Caenorhabditis elegans: one gene and its partner. The protein of the gene in region 2 interacts with the protein of the main gene of each other region in a pairwise test. Each region holds a gene or a part of one and is shown on either strand. Other genes may lie near its edges.

Region 1 (6,535 bases), on a different chromosome or scaffold from region 2:
ATCTCTATGATGTGCAACAGGTTAGTAGAACGATGTACAATCTTTATTTGCATTACACATATTATTCAGGTGTCGGTTCGTCCATTGTGGCACACCCAGTATGAACGTTTCATTCGCTCCGCATATCCATACTACGCCTCTTCGTTCTCAATGATGGCGGGACTCGTGTTGTTCTCCATCGTCTATCTTTATCATAAAGATACGCCAGTCAAAGGAGCCAAGGTTCTGGATTCCGAAAAGAAGAAAAACTAAATGCTCTTTTTTCGCAAAGTTTGCCTCTTCGCCTACTGGTTTTTTCTCCCTCTCTCCTCAATTCGTTTTCATCGCCCGATTCCAATGATTTCTAACTTATTTATTTTTCTGCTTTTAGGTGATTTATATTCGTTCCCCTTTCTCCTACCAAAGTTTTTTTGTTTTAATGTATTCAAGTTTTATGTCCCAACTGGTTGTATTTCTTTAAAAGTATGTACTTTTGTGATAATAATAATATTTTTCATGTTAGAAGGATTTCATGTTTTATTCATAGGCGTAAACACAAAGAACAGAAGCTAGGGAATACGTTTGATATATTATTTCTTTAAATTTGGGTCTACACTTTAATCAGAAGAGAGGGTGAATGGATGACTCTGGTAATCTTTTGATAACCGAGTATATTTACATTGAAATGAGCATTAAGAAGATGAATATAAAGAAACAATGTAAAGGTAAAAAGAAACGTAGAATACAACCAACTTCCTAGCTTATATGACAAAGTGCAGAGAGGTGGGTACGGTATTTCTCAAAAAAGAAGATAACCAAAATGTATTGATCTACTGAAAATTGAAGATTATTATAAAAGATTGAAAATTGAAGATTACAATAAAAGATTTAATTCATAGTCAAAGCTTTCTTAAAATTAAAAGGGTAACACAACCTAAAAGAGTAAAATAGAAAGAAAAAACACACTACAACTAGAAATAACACACTGAACTAAAATCTAAAACTACACAACAGAAGAAAAACATGAACAAAAGATAAAATGACCAAAAAGGTTTAAATCTCTTTTAAAACAAAAAAAAGGAATCTAGCTAGACTGAAAGAGGAAGAAATCTAGCTATGTATATTCTATTTTACTCTAAGAAATATTGAGATTATTGTGACGATCGTTGAAATTAGTGAGTCCAAGTAGCTCATCGAATACGTCATCATCAAATGGTCCACTGAAATCAGTGGCCAAGTCCATACCGCACAGCGGATCATTAAAGTTATCTGGAAGATTTGCAGCGAGAATCCCATCAATATTAGAAGTAACTCCTGAAGCTTCTTCTCCGCCACACAAAATTTCATCGTCTCCTCCACCGAGTCCAAATAAATCTTCGGTTTTGAATTCTTCAAAGTCATCTTTCAAAATACTTTGAGTCGCGAGAGCATCTTCATCGTCCATTTCAATTTTGACTTTCTAAAAGCAGATTCGATTGAAAAAAGTCAAATAAATACATTTTCTATTAATCAGTTGCAAAAAATGCGAATTTTGACGAAAAACTACAGGACCCTGTCAAGAAAATTTTCGAAGCAAAATTTTAGAGAGTACTGTAGCTGAGATTTCCGGTTTTTCATGCAATTTTTTGAATTTCAGGGTTTAGGAGCAAAGTCGATGGAAATTCTTTAAAAAAAATTACGAAAGAACCAAAGATTGGGCTACTGTACATCTTAAAGGCGCACACCTTTTTGCGCAGCTTTCATTTAAAAAAATCAAGGGGATACTGTATTTTCTGGTAAAAATTGCAATAATTTGCAACGGGATTTTCCGATCACGGTTTATAATGTTTTTTTTTTCAAAAACTAACACTTTCGTCATACTCCTCAATACTCGAATTCATTTCGAGATTTTGAAGTTGTCCTCCATTGAAACGAATCGGCACAGCCTTCTTCATCGTAATTGATTCTAGCTCCTTCTGGAAAAACGTGAAATATTAAAAATTAAGAATATATTACAATAAAAGAAATACCTTTATAGTCATACCGGAATATGGAAGTCTGCGGTTTCCATTTATAGAAGGTTTCATTGTCATTGACACTAAACTTATTTTGAAATTAACAAGAGAAAACTAATTGTACTTACAATATGGGTTAGTGATTGGAATTGGTCCTGAATTGTTACGATAGCCAGTTCCATTAAAAGCAGCCATATCTCGATGATATTGTTCGAACCAAATTGGCATTTGTTCAATTAGTCCGTTTTCAGTGACGAGACGGAATCGTCCAGAAGATCCAAGATAGCCTATAAACTCAAAGATAACGGGAAAATTAACTGAACAGTACTTACTGCGAATAGTTTCAACATTTCCTAAAACATCGACACCTTCATTAACTGCGTCGACGATGGCTCCAATTGAAGCCAGCTAAAATTTCAACTTTACAATGAGATGAATTTCTGAAAAAATGAAACCTCATTCGATTCTAGAACCATTCTTGTGTGATCAATTTCATGTCCACTGTGATGAAGGCATCCTTCAATTTGTAGTTCGGAGACCGTCGGATTCTGCTTGATTTTCAAATAAGCCATACAATTTCTACCACACTTTATTGACGGTCTGGGTGGTCTCACGTATTTCTTGTTAGGTCTCTCCTTCTGATCACCACTTCTAGAACATGTCAGATAGTGAACTTGAAGTCCTCGTCCCCACTTTTTGGATCCTGATGAGACGACAAACTCGACTGCATGAGTCTCACGAAGAGAATCGAGCCACGATTGGAGCATTTCACGATTGGCAAATGTTCGTTTAACAAGAGGAGCTTCAATTCCGTGCGAGTCATACATATGACGAAGTAGGAGAGGGCGGGAATATGCGAATGTGTCACATTCACTACATTTCACCTGAAAAATTTATTTAAAGAGTGAGTAGCTAGAATGATGATTTTGATTCAAAACTTCCTAAATGGTCTGAAATTCAGAAATATTGAAAAAATGTACAGAGAAAGAATAAAAATGAATTTTCTTAAAAACGTGGAATTTGAATATCCTCCAAAACTTTCATTCAAATTCAGACTTTCTTAATTTTTCTCTGAATTTCAGAAGTACTTTTTGGTATTTTAGAAATAAAAAAAACCGAACTCACTCCTTTGGGTTTTGGCTGAACCAGCTGAACTTTCATTGCCTCACCAGTTTTGTCGTATATAACTGGCTGCTTTGGACCATGAACTAACATGTGTTTTTTCATTGACATTTCATTAGTACCACGCCAGAAGCAGTCTTGTTGGGGACACCTGAAAATTCACTTTATAATTTATATCAGATAACCTTAACTTACGCAAATCTTGACGTTTGCAACCGATTTCTCTGAAGCAAGTTATAGCTGGGCGATTTTGATGTCATGCATGGTTGAACCAACGGTCCGGACGATTTTAAATAAGGATCAGGTGACTCTGATTTTGGTGATTTATCAGCGTTGAAACCATCTCCAGTCAATTCGTCAGCTCCTAGATCGGCAATTTCATCGTCTAATTCTTCTTCAAAAACTACTTCTCCACCCATTGACATACATGCCGGAACAGTTGTAAAATGTTGTTTCGGTGGCTCTTGTGCTGGGACATACATGTTCGATGCGGGACGATTTCTATAAAATTTTGGAGTTTTAAAAAAATGTTAATTGCAATAAACTAACTCATCGAACTTATTGCCGTATTCTGCTTTTGGCAGACGATACACATATTTTGGAGCGCTGCCACTTGTATCAAGAGTCACACTTCCTGCTGACATTGAAGTTGCATGGTATCTGAAAATTGAATTGTGATGTTCAAATTTATATCGTCGCCGTTTTCTACTTACGATGGGGCTCGTATAGAAGAATTTATTGTAGTCAGTCTTCCAGTCATTTGATTACCTTTCATTCCAGGATTGTTACGACGAATGTAAATCTGTAAAGTTTTTAAACAGAATATCAGACACGTGTGCCGATTCTGCTCACTATTTTTCCACTCTCGTAATTCTCTTTCATCTTTTTCATATAATCTGGTGGTGGAAACGTCACTCCTGAACTACTTGTCATCGATTTCTGAACGCCATTGCCATCGGCAACGAACAGACGACGACGGGGTGCCAACCGACATGCTGGTATACTCTGGAAGACAATGTTTTACTAATATCCAGATTTTTGTTAATATTCACTTTGTAATTTGTCGGCGGTCGTTTGATTATTTTGCTTTGCTGCGACCGGAGTCCGTTGGACGAAGCGATTGTTGATGGTCCCTGAAAAATTTAATAAACTCATTTATTAAAATCATTTTTTTAAGACATAGAACATCTAATTTTCTAATGACTGTAAATTTGTATGTCAAACATATTTGAAATACCTGTACTGGTAAATGATAGTCATTTCCGTACGAATCGCCGTACACGGACGCCTGGTAGCGCAGCATGTGAATTACCTGAAATATGTAAATGTTTGAATCTACGATTGAACAATCAAAATGTTTCAACATTCGAATATAATGCAATGAAATTGTAGAAAATAGTGATCAGAGAACGAAAAATGTGTCAGAAACATTGGAAATAACGAAAGAAATGAAACATTTTGATAAGAGCTTATTGAAAAAAGAAGAGAAAACAGTCAATAGGGAACAGGAGGAATTTTTTGAGATTTTTTTCTGAATGATTATGTTTGCGTCGAATAGAAAAATGCTGAAAACTCAAATAAGATTAATTAAAGCTTGAACCATTTTCCGCGAATTTTTGATAATAATTGAAAACAACAAACGTTTAATGATCTTCGGTTTCTCACAGAAACATTTGTTTTTGAACAAAAAATGTGTTATTTCTATGAAGTGTTGCTGAATAATTCAAAGTTCGAACAAAACATGTTCTTTGAACTTTCTCGCTGCAGTATATTTTTTTTGGCCTAGATAAATATATTCTTTAGGAATAAAATTGTATTTATGCGATTGTTTTATAAAACTTAAAAACAGCATGAAAGTAATCAGTTGGCTCGAATGGCACACCACGAGTCGATGCCCGGCGAGCTCTGCAACAGTTGCCGAGTCCGCCGAAGAAAAAAAACGAATTGTCGTGAAGTGTGGCGCGGCGTGTACGTGATGCACACTTTAAATTCCACCGTAGTACTCCGCAAAGCCAGGCGCTCACGCTCCTGTTAACAAACATGTTTATTCAGTGAAAATCAGAGGACTTTTGTTCGAGAAAATTTATGTGAAAAAGCACAACAAAACAGCAGGAAAATATGGTACAGAAAGTGATACTACACGGGAAGGAACAAAAAATAAATTTGATAAAAATGGGAGAGCGATATGAATATTAAATTAAGATTTTATTATTGAAATAATGCAGTTTCGTTGACCTGAAAAACAATTTTGGTCAAATTTGGCAAACTATTGAGCAAATAATTAACAAGCTTTAAAAGCATGACCAATTATGAGTGTTTAAAGAAACAATTGTTTTATTTTTTTGATTCAACTCTTCGAATTTCGTAAAGTCCACACTCGTCTTGATTAAAATCGATCAGAGCTAGAGATTGCATTTTTGTAGAAGCTGCAAGCGGATCCCAAGACGAAGCAGCCCACGACGCTGATTTACCTGGAATATAGGAAATCGTGAAAATCATTAAAAAAAGTTCAAATTACCTCTTCCAAAAACTGCAAACTCGATGGCGACAGCAGAAAGAACGAAAAATAAGAACATTGTGACTTTCATCCATTCTGCCAGTTTGCTAAAAAATAAAAATGTAAAAGTGAATACTGAGCAACTTTTCGTCTCTTTACAAACTGAAATACTTACTTTTCAGTCACAGAATATGTAACAACCATTGGAAGAATCGAGAACGCCAGTCCAAATGGAACAGCACACATTGCCACAATTTGCTCGGCAAAAACTCTTCCAACGACGGTTAAACTTCTTACAAATCCAGCGACAATGGCCAAGCCAAATGGTAGCATTGAAATAAGAAGAAGCGAAAAAAGTCTGGAATTATTTTAAAGTATAAATAGAAATGAAAAATAGACGGAATTTACCCGGCTTTGGTTTGTAGTGAAGCGACGAGAACTATAGCGATCATCAAAATTGCGCCAATGGCAAATGCCGTGAAATTTAAAATTCTGACGATCTTTGTTGAAGGTTTGAAGAGGACGTTGAGAGAAGAAAAGATGATACATGATAACGGCTGTAAAATTATGAATGTTGAAGAAACATAAAAATTGTAAACCGTACCAAAAGCTGAAAAGGGAAACTACTGTGAATCCCAAGTCCTTCAACAACAAAAACATCGGGTGACGCCAGAAGAGATGGAAGATAAATTGAAAAGAAAGCAGTAACTGAGAAGAGACCAAATGCAGAAGTCCAGATGCTCCAAGCAGACAATGATCGGAAAAGTGAAGTATACGCATCTGCAAGTGCACGATTTGATCGTAATTCCTGAAATTAAAAATTATTTTCGGACATTTTAGAGCACAGAACTTACATTCACTTTTCCTGCAACAATTTTATTCAATTCAACTCCGCTGACCCATGGGTGGTCTTGTGGACGATCACGATAAAATATTGACCATC
Region 2 (4,948 bases):
AACCTAATTTTCAAATGATTCTCAACCGAGCTTAAGTTCAATACCTATCCAAATCCCAACCAGTTTTTCATTCCAATTCCAATCCATCTACTTTCTCTCTCCACCTGTGTCTCTCACCTCTACCATACTATTTCTCCCACCTTTTCAATCGACAGTTTTTTTGCTGTTTCGGTTTCTACTGGATACACGCCTTTGGGGCGTGGAAATAGAAGAAGATGGATGGATTTTGGAGGAAAAGTTGAAGGAAAACTAGAGAATGCTGGGGCCCGGATACTTATTATTTCTTTGATTCGATTTTCTTTACTTTTTCCCCAGTTACAACAGATTTTGGAAAATTTCACGAAATTCAATTTTCTTTTGTTTCTTTGGATGTTTTTAAAAAGGGATTTTGTAGTTTGAAAACTTGAAAGCTTACAGAAAATTTTATGAAAATTTGCATTAAATTTTCTGCAGTTTCACACTCTTTATTTCAGCGTTATAGGGGTTTTTGCAACATTGCTTCAATTTCAATTTTTCCTATTGCTAAATATAGAAAAAAAAGCGGTGGCGAATTCTTTATGAAATTGTCTAAAATCCATCTTGTATACGTTTCAAAAAAAATTATGCTGTTTCAAAAATGTAACTTGTTAGCACAGAATATACGGTTTTCGTTCAGATTCGTTTTCAATCTCAATTTTCAAAATCTTCAGTTGAAGAAGTTATCTTTTTCTGTTTTTTCTTCGTAAATCTGAAAAATAATCACTGCTTCAAGTTATTTACGATTTTTAATTGATTTTGAAATCTAACTCAATTACTTTAATTAATTCTGTCATGTTAATACATCTACAAAAATAAATCTTACTCCTATATTTTTCATTCAATTTCAGATCTGATTGACTTGATTTTCAAGAGTATAGCTATTGCTAGAATTTTTAGTTGTTTTTAAATTTATCATTGATTTTCCGAGTATTGTTTTATTCACTAAAATTTCCAGATTCACAAAAGTTTTTAGTGAAAAATAAATCAGTGAATTGAAAATGTTTTAATTTAAAATTCAGATTTTTCTCTCAATTTCTCACTCTAGCCGCTTTAATGTTCTCTTCTCTCAATCTTTTTGTTAATTTTTTGAAACAAATTATCACTGTTTCAAGTTTTTTTAAAAATAATTAATCAATTTTCAATTTTAATTTTCACATAAATTGCTTTCGCTTTCATGATGTTATTTTCAAAACAATATTTTTCACTATTTTCATTTGTTATATAAAACATGGTAAAACTTCCCATTATACTCTCTTTTTGCTTTCTTAACTCTAGTTTCCAAATTAAAATTAAAAAATTGTTTCTAAACTTCAATTATATTTTCCTAAAACTTTCCACGAAAATTAAAATTCATTAGAATTTCTTACAGTTACGAAAAAGGAGCCAAACTTTGAGATTTGAATTCAAGTTTTCCACTTTATAATTAAAAATGAAAATTTCTTCCTTATTGTAACATATCATTTCGTTAATTTTTTAAACCAAAACTTTAAAATTTTCCTGTTTCACGTTGTTTATAAGAAACATTGATTTTTTAAAAACATTGCTCGGTGGATTTTCTGAGTCTTTTTCAAAAAATAAAACAAAACTTTTCTCATGTTTTTATTGGTTTTCAAAATGTCATATATTTTTTACTTTTCCAATTCCAACTACAATTTTTCGAAAACCCAATGCTTCAATTTTTCTTCCATAACTTTAAAGTTAAATTAAATTTGATTTTATTTCAGCCAGTCAAATGCCATTTGCTTAAAAAGCGAGGAAATTTATCATCAGTGAAGAAGTGTAAAACATCTATTAAAAATGATGCGTCGAGGTGGATCGATGGGTCCACCGAGCGGGGATCCATATCAGAGGTTAGTATATTGTTTTATGAAAATAATTTAAACACAAATACAAGGCAAATTTGATTACATATTGAGATAGTCAAATTTTACAATTGAAATAAAGTTTTTAAAGCTTTAAACTTGTTTTGTATTGAAAATCCAAGTATTTGATAATTACTCCCAAAATTGTGTCAATTTTCTAAAAATTGCTGACAATCTAAAAGGTGTGAGACGAATTAACTCAACAAACTAAGGAAAGCAGAACTAGAAAATATTTGAACTTTTTTTTGAAATAGAAGTTATGAAACGGTAATTTTTGCGAAATTTTTTAACCTAAAATTTAACTTCAACGTATTTGAAAATCCATTACTGCAAATAAATTTTGAGACTGAAATATTTCTCAAAAATTGACTATTTCGCAATAGATGTTAAATGAAATTTAATAAGTCACCAGAATTTCAAACAGGATGAAAATGAAAAAAAAACAGCTTCAAACATTTTTGTTGAAGTAATTTTTTTAAATCTAAATTGCTTCCAGCGACTTTTTAGAGCTGTTTTCTGTATGTTGATGGCTCGTAATACCCTAAAATTCATTTTTTTTCAAATAGAAAAAAAAATCGAAAATATCGCTGTTTCAAAGAAATGTTATATTTTCAAAGTTTTATCAATGAATTGTTCTGCTGACCTTTTTATTATGAGAAGATCAAATTAAATCATTTATCAAATTGAAGTCGATCCCCTATGAAAGTTCGACTAAACTGACTTCAAACCGCTTTTTAAACCGAAAATTGCAACATTCTTACTGAGTCAATAAAAATTAGAAAAATTAAATGAAGATGCTGAAACTGTAGAGTGTTTCAATTTTCGGTTTAAAAAGTGGGTTGAAGTCAGTTTAGTCGAACTTTCATAGGGGGTGGAATCCTTTAATCAGAAAATTTTAAACTGGATGAAAGAAGAAGTAAAAACAAACAAATAACTGCTTCAGATTCATGTTATTTAATTTCTGAATTTACTTTTCCGTTAAAGAATTTACTTTAAACTTTTTTTTTAGCAAATTAAAAATAATCTTTAAAAATCTAAATCTTGAAAAAGGAAAAAAAAAATGTGAATATCAAAATTTTGACCGTTTCACATTGTTTTTTTTTAATATTGACATTTTCTGGTAGCATAATATCAACAGAAGAATATTACTTGTTAATAAAAAAATATTAAGAAAATTAACTATTTCGCTTTCCTTATAAATATTCGTTATCAGATTTTATAAATTAGTAAGCTCTCGGAATTTTCTTAAATTTTCAGTTTTAAAGTCAAAACGACTTCCTTAATGTTCTAGAATAACTCAATCAATTAATTAACCAATTAATCCGTTGAAATGTCCCAGTTCGACAGGATTTATTGAATTTTCGAAATGAAGTTGATTAATTAGTTTTCAAGATGAATATCTTATTTCTCTGTTTCACCACCACACCTCTTTGGGTGTGGTTTTGGAAACTTATTTGGAATGTGAACGATTTTCCTAATGCCAATGAACTTTTTGCATTTTTTAAATTAGTTTTTTGAAACAGTGATTTTTTGTGAAGTCGTTTAATTGTAAGTTTTCAATATTAAACACCTTAAAAGTTAATTTATTGCGAAACCCCCTATAATAATGATTAGAATATTTCAAAAGTTGATTTTGAATTACTCTGATAATGCGTTTGAAATAATTTTTTCTGTTGAAACTAATTTGTTTTTTATGGTTTCCCTGTCTTCTGCATTTTTTTGAAAGCACATCATTGATAAAATGTTTCTAAAGTTTTATATTAAACATTTGGAACCGTGAAAAATTTTAAAACAACTCCAATATAGCTAACTTTTTTACATGTGCTTGTTTTTTGGAACAGTTTATTTTTTGTGCAAATTTTTAAGTATAATATTTTCAACATTTTACCATGTTTCAATGTAGTATTAAATTTTACCTCCACCATAAAAAATTATTGATTTCAATCTTATTGGTACATAACTCAAATGTTGAAAAAAAAATTTGTTGCACAATTGGAACTGTTTCAGAATTTCCCTACTTTCAAGAACAATTTTTTTTGGATATCGCAGTGTCCAAGTTTTCGAAAATTTTAGTCAGAAACCTGAAACTGTATCAATTTAAGCAATTAAAGTAAATTTAAAAACAATTATTGTATTCTTAAAAACCTGAAAATTGAATTGTTTAAAAGTGTAATTCACTGGAATTCATCAATATTCAAACTTTTCACATATTATGTAGCAAAGTGAAAACAGTAGAATTTTTAAAAAATTTAGAAAAGTCCTATACATTTTCAAGTTGCGATCAAAAATGGAACAAAAAGAAGCTGTTAAGTTTTGCTTATTCAGTCAAACTGTTACTATAAAATATAAAATTCAAAAGTTCAAGAAAATCATTTAGATATGTAACCAAATAATATTCGACTAATTTCTAATGAAAATACCTACCTAAAATCTAAAATCGTAATCACGGTTTCACAGAATATTATTTGGTTACATATCTAAATGATTTTCTTGAACTTTTGAATTTTATGTTTTATAGTAACAGTTTGACTGAATAAGCAAAACTTAACAGCTTCTTTTTGTTCCATTTTTGATCGCAACTTGAAAATGTATAGGACTTTTCTAAATTTTTTAAAAATCTTTGTGAAAAATGCGACTCTCTCTTAAAAAATTCTCTGTTTTTGTATCAGGGGTGTGCGGCAAATTTGCCGATTTGCCGAAAATTGCCGACTTGCCGAGCTCGGCAAATTTGCCGATTTGCCAAATTCGGCAAATTTAAAAAAACCAGCAATTGCCGATTTGTCGAGCACGGCAAATTTCAAAAAAGTAGATTTGCCGAATTTGCCGAGCTCGGCAAATTTCGAAATTTGCCGCACACGTCAAAAATTTTACAGTACAATTTTGACTAAAATTATTGATTTTTTCGCCAAAAATTTAGTAAAATGACACAAAATTGAGTTAGTTTTATGCTTAAGCAGACATACTACACGGAACTAATTCAGAAACCAGATGTGTGTTAAGAATTCGGTAGTTTTGGTGTTCCAAAAAACATCAAAAATTATCAAAATTTTCCGAGTTTGTTAAGCACG

What was found.
Region 1: the proteins of eps-8 (region 2) and ztf-17 interact in a two-hybrid assay, tested with the Caenorhabditis elegans proteins (2 studies listed by BioGRID).

The regions. Positions count from the first base shown.
Region 1 is NC_003280.10:7,865,756-7,872,290, forward strand, and holds ztf-17 (Zinc finger transcription factor family protein 17), read right to left. Parts: upstream 4,408-6,535; 5' UTR 4,399-4,407; coding exon 4,333-4,398; intron 4,229-4,332; coding exon 4,148-4,228; intron 4,101-4,147; coding exon 3,948-4,100; intron 3,898-3,947; coding exon 3,809-3,897; intron 3,756-3,808; coding exon 3,645-3,755; intron 3,597-3,644; coding exon 3,291-3,596; intron 3,247-3,290; coding exon 3,099-3,246; intron 2,858-3,098; coding exon 2,429-2,857; intron 2,382-2,428; coding exon 2,306-2,381; intron 2,261-2,305; coding exon 2,102-2,260; intron 2,057-2,101; coding exon 1,989-2,056; intron 1,935-1,988; coding exon 1,827-1,934; intron 1,439-1,826; coding exon 1,115-1,438; 3' UTR 501-1,114; downstream 1-500. Other genes in the region: ostb-1 (Dolichyl-diphosphooligosaccharide--protein glycosyltransferase 48 kDa subunit), read left to right, coding at 1-20, 70-252; T01H3.3 (MFS domain-containing protein), read right to left, coding at 5,430-5,566, 5,614-5,699, 5,768-5,950, 6,001-6,149, 6,197-6,400, 6,447-6,534.
Region 2 is NC_003282.8:14,877,748-14,882,695, forward strand, and holds the start of eps-8 (SH3 domain-containing protein), read left to right. Parts: upstream 1-1,815; coding exon 1,816-1,868; intron 1,869-1,922; exon of another isoform or gene 1,923-1,943; intron 1,944-2,081; exon of another isoform or gene 2,082-2,102; intron 2,103-2,294; exon of another isoform or gene 2,295-2,316; intron 2,317-2,514; exon of another isoform or gene 2,515-2,535; intron 2,536-2,619; exon of another isoform or gene 2,620-2,640; intron 2,641-2,859; exon of another isoform or gene 2,860-2,880; intron 2,881-3,009; exon of another isoform or gene 3,010-3,030; intron 3,031-3,104; exon of another isoform or gene 3,105-3,128; intron 3,129-3,181; exon of another isoform or gene 3,182-3,202; intron 3,203-3,334; exon of another isoform or gene 3,335-3,357; intron 3,358-3,589; exon of another isoform or gene 3,590-3,610; intron 3,611-3,812; exon of another isoform or gene 3,813-3,836; intron 3,837-3,902; exon of another isoform or gene 3,903-3,923; intron 3,924-4,046; exon of another isoform or gene 4,047-4,067; intron 4,068-4,948.